Linked DNA regions of Macaca mulatta. The protein of the gene in region 2 interacts with the protein of the main gene of each other region in a biochemical or structural test. Links are inferred from orthologs where the notes say so. Each region holds a gene or a part of one and is shown on either strand. Other genes may lie near its edges.

Region 1 (2,369 bases), on a different chromosome or scaffold from region 2:
ACCCGTTCCCAAGAGCTCAGGGCAGGCCCATCAGGTGGGACCTGTCCCAATTTCTGGTATTAAAAACTAAAACTTCGGCTGGGTGTAGTGGCTCACGCCTGTAATCCCAGCACTTTGGGACGCTGAGGTGGGCGGATACGAGGTCAGGAGATTGAGACCATCCTGGCTAACACATTGAAACCCCATCTCGGCCGGGCGCGGTGGCTCAAGCCTGTAATCCCAGCACTTTGGGAGGCCGAGGCGGGTGGATCACGAGGTCAGGAGATCGAGACTATCCTGGCTAACACGGTGAAACCCCGTCTCTACTAAAAATACAAAAAATTAGCCGGGCGTGGTAGCGGGCACCTGTAGTCCCAGCTACTTGGGAGGCTGAGGCGGGAGAATGGTGTGAACCAAGGGGGCGGAGCTTGCAGTGAGCCGAGATCGTGCCACTGCACTCCAGCCTGGGAGACACAGCGAGACTCCGTCTCAAAAAAAAAAAAAAAAAAAAAGAAACCCCATCTCTACTAAAAATAGAAAAAATTAGCTGTGCGTGGTGGCGGGCGCCTGTAGTCCCAGCTACTTGGGAGGTTGAGGCAGGAGAATGGCGTGAACCCGGAAGGTGGAGCTTGCAGTGAGCTGAGATTGCACCACTGCACTCAGCCTGGGAGACAGAGTGAGACTCCATATCAAAAAAAAGAATACAAATATTAGCTGGGCATGGTGGCGCACGCCTGTAGTCCCGTTTGTTTGGTAGGGTGAGGCAGGCGAATCGCTTCAAGCCGGGAGGCAGAGGTTGTGGTGAGCCGAGATCGTGCCACTGCACTCTGACCTGGCGACAGAGTGAGATTCTGTCTCAGAAAAGTAAAACTGGGGAATTACCCAGAAAGAAGCTAGCTTGCCCCCTACAGCCTGAGCTACTCTGATGTGGTTTCTCCTCTTCCTGCAGGTCCCGCTCTCCGAGGCGCAGGTCCCCTGTGCGCCGGAGATCACGCTCCCCGGGACGCCGCCGCCACAGGAGCCGCTCCAGCTCCAACTCCTCCCGATAAACAGGCCACTGAAGCTCTCGCCCCTGTAACTTATACCCCACCCAGCTCAGTTTTGTCACTTTTCTAGCCAAAGGAAGATCAGTAGGAAAGCAAACCCTTCACTCGGGCAGAATTTGCAGGCAGCAGTCAGCACCCCTCTGCCGGCCGGGCTCTGGCTGCAGAAGTGCTGTTGGTTTGGGTGTTGTGTGCCTGTCAAGATTCCCTCCGGTTTTGTGGCTAGGAAGCTCGCCCGCTTCCAGTTTCTAAGAGTCAGTTCAGTGGCAGGGCCACCAGGGACAGGTGAGGCTCTGGGGGATGGTGTGACCCTGCCTGCCTGGGAGCACACTTTTCCCTTCCCTAGTTACCTGAGATGGTTGCCAGACTGTGCCCTTGCTGTTGCTGGGCGGTGTCCTTTTGGAAAGGGAGCCGTCCCGAGCTTTAGTGCAGCTGCCAACCCTGTTAGCCTCGGCCTCTTGAGGCCTCTTCCAACTTCAAGGGTCACACACCCCCAAAGATCCTCTCACCTATGGTAATTGCTGTGCATGGTTCTGTCTGTCCGTGCACCCATGCACACACCCCACCCCACCACCCTACTCTGAAACTGGCGAGTGAGAGCCAGCTGTGCGGGATCATCAAGCAGCCATGGTTGTGCCTGCCCTTCGTGGTGGTCTTTCAGGTTATCTTGGCAACATGTACATTGCTTTTTTTTTTTTTTTTTGCTTTTTTGCTTTTATTGTACAGTCAGTACTATAAAATTTCTCTTTGAGTTTTATACCTTTGTAGCATTTTAGATGACATTGTGTTTGTACTTTGTTGTGTAGAGTGGAAGAATTGTGTTGAATAAACCCAAGATTGGAATGCAGATCTAGTACTGGGTTCACTGCCTTCTCACTGTACCCTCGCCCCTAGTAACTTTCTGTTCCTCAACATCCACAGTGGCACCTCCAATGCTTTGTCAGGAGAATCTAGGGTTTGTGTGCTGTGGGTATTAGGTTGCTGCTGTGGAGATGGTTTTATCACCCCCTCGGAATGTGTGTGTGTTTTGAGACAGACTCTCGCTCTTTCACCCAGGCTGGAGTGCGTACCATGGTGCGATCATAGCTCACTACAGCCTCCAACTCCTGTTTCAGCCTCCAGAGTAGCAGGGGAAATTTTTTTTTTTTTTTTTTTTTTTTTCAGACGGAGTCTCTTGCCTGGGTTGGAGTGCAGTAGTGTGTTCTTGGCTCACTACAACCTCTGCCTCCTGGGTTCAAGCGATTTTCCTGCCTCAGCCTCCTGAGTAGCTGGAATTACAGGCACCACCCACCACGCCCAGCTAATTTTTTGTATTTCTAGTAGAGATGGGGTTTCACCACGTTGGCC
Region 2 (2,557 bases):
TCCCAGCACTTTGGGAGGCTGAGGCGGGTGGATCACCTGAGGTCAGGAGTTAGAGACCAGCCTGGCCAACATAGTGAAACCATGTCTCTAGTAAAAATACGAAATTTAGCCGCGTGTGGTGGCATGCACCTGTAATCTCAGCTATTTGGGAGGTGGAGGCAGGGGAATCACTTAAACCCTGGAGGTGAGGTTGCAGTGAGCCAGGATCGCGCCATTGCACTCCAGCCTGGGCAACCGGCGCAAAACTCCATCTCAAAAAAAGAAAAAATGTGACACATGTGCAGATACCTTTTTTTTTTTTTTTTTTTTTTTTGGGTAGAGATGGGGTTTCATCAAGTTGCCCAGGCTGGGCTGAGCTCAAAGCAGTCCATCCACCTCAGCCTCCCAGAGTGCTGGGATGACAGGTGTGAGCCACCATGCCCGGCCTGCAGATACCTTTACATAGTAAAAAAAAAAAAAAAAATTTGAATCGGAGTTTGGCTCTTCTTGCCCATGCTGGAGTGCAGTGGCGTGATCTCAGCTCCCTGCAGCCTCCGCCTCCAGGGTTCAAGTGATTCTCCTGCTTCAGCCTCCCAAGTAGCTGGGATTATAGGTGGGCATGACCATGCCCGCTAATATTTTTGTGTTTTTAGTAGAGATGGTGTTTCACCGTGTTGGTCAGGCTGGTCTCAAACTCCTGACTTCAGATGATCTACCTACCTCTGATGTTTCACATAATTAGTATGTGTAATAACTTTTTATTATAATTGAACTGAAATCATATATACCTTGTGTGTATTTCTTGTAACTGTTTCAACACATAAGTATTAAAGCAGGGTACTTAACTTTTAGCAAAAGCGGCGCCAGGAAATTGAACAAAAACTTGAAGTTCAGGCAGAAGAAGAAAGAAAGCAGGTTGAAAATGAAAGGAGAGAACTGTTTGAAGAGAGGCGTGCTAAACAGACAGAACTGCGGCTTTTGGAACAGAAAGTTGAGCTTGCGCAGCTGGTGAGTGGTAATTTCGAATTCTAAGATTGGTAATCCTTTATGTTTACAAAAGCACTGACCTTTTACCTTTTCTTTAGCAAGAAGAATGGAATGAACATAATGCCAAAATAATTAAATATATAAGAACTAAGACAAAGCCCCATTTGTTTTATATTCCTGGAAGAATGTGTCCAGCTACCCAAAAATTAATAGAAGAGTCACAGAGAAAAATGAATGGTAAGTGTGTGAAGAGGTCCATTGAATTGTTCATAGCGGGTAAGGTAGTATGTTCATACGCACAAGTTTGTTTTCTAAAATACTTATGATTCAGTGATTGGTTTGCTGTGTTTGGTTTTTTAAAAAAAATAAGATATAAGATATTCTAGGCCGGGCACTGTGGTTCACGCCTGTAATCCCAGCACTTTGGGAGGCCAAAGCAGGCCAATCACGAGGTCAGGAGATCGAGACCATCCTGGTTAACACAGTGAAACCCCGTCTCTAGTCTCTACTAAAAATACAAAAAAAAAATTAGCTGGGCATGGTGGTAGAAGCCTGTAATTCTAGCTACTTGGCAGGCTGAGGCAGGAGAATCACTTGAACCTGGGAGGCAGAAGTTGCAGTGAGCCAAGATCGCGCCACTGAACCTCCAGCCTGGGCAACAGATCTAGACTCCGTCTCAAAAAAAAAAAGATACATTCTGAGATGCTGGTGAGTTTGTAGTATAGGAATATTTGTATCATGGAGTTTAATGTGAAAGTTATAGACAGTGCTTATGCATCTGTATTCCTTAAGCATTTGTGTATAATTTTTTTTTGCATGCTACTCTTATTCTGATAAAATGCTAAGAAGACAAATGTGAAAACCAACAGTTTCTAGATGGAACACACATGGAAGGATAGACACTGCTAAGATGATGATTTGTCTCTTTGGGATCAGAAAAATTAATACATAAAGATTAATCTGTTTTATCAGTTAGAAAATGTCTAGTTCTGTCTGCCACTAATTTCTAGTATGTAGATTTCCCATGGATCTTTGCTTTTATAATTTTATGTCAGTTTGTGATTACTTAATTGCCATAGTAGTATTTTGTCATAACTCTACAAAAACAAATCCAGATGAAGCTTAATGACAATTTGTGACCAGTTGTAAAATTGTGGCTTTGAATTTTGTTAATCGGTAAATTTTACACATGTAAATTTTTATTCTTTAGCTTTATTTGAAGGTAGACGCATCGAATTTGCAGAACAAATAAATAAAATGGAGGCTAGGCCTAGAAGACAATCAATGAAGGAAAAAGAGCATCAGGTGGTGCGTAATGAAGAACAGAAGGCGGAACAAGAAGAGGGTAAGGTGGCTCAGCGAGAGGAAGAGTTGGAGGAGACAGGTAATCAGCACAATGATGTAGAAATAGAGGAAGCAGGAGAGGAAGAGGAAAAGGAAATAGCAATTGTTCATAGTGATGCAGAGAAAGAACAGGAGGAGGAAGAACAAAAACAGGAAATTGAGGTTAAGATGGAGGAGGAAACTGAGGTAAGGGAAAGTGAGAAGCAGCAGGATAGTCAGCCTGAAGAAGTTATGGATGTGCTAGAGA

What was found. The genes of interacting proteins can lie anywhere in the genome.
Region 1: the proteins of PNN (region 2) and RNPS1 form a complex in vitro, tested with the Homo sapiens proteins (3 studies listed by BioGRID and IntAct). The link is inferred for Macaca mulatta from reciprocal best matches to the Homo sapiens genes PNN and RNPS1.

Annotation. Positions count from the first base shown.
Region 1 is NC_133425.1:3,489,831-3,492,199, reverse strand, and holds the end of RNPS1 (RNA-binding protein with serine-rich domain 1), read left to right. Parts: intron 1-876; exon of another isoform or gene 877-928; coding exon 929-1,028; coding exon of another isoform or gene 1,029-1,095; 3' UTR 1,096-1,869; downstream 1,870-2,369. UniProt on the Homo sapiens protein: Part of pre- and post-splicing multiprotein mRNP complexes. Auxiliary component of the splicing-dependent multiprotein exon junction complex (EJC) deposited at splice junction on mRNAs.
Region 2 is NC_133412.1:112,292,418-112,294,974, forward strand, and holds part of PNN (pinin), read left to right. Parts: intron 1-831; coding exon 832-987; intron 988-1,064; coding exon 1,065-1,203; intron 1,204-2,176; coding exon 2,177-2,557. UniProt on the Homo sapiens protein: Transcriptional activator binding to the E-box 1 core sequence of the E-cadherin promoter gene; the core-binding sequence is 5'CAGGTG-3'. Capable of reversing CTBP1-mediated transcription repression.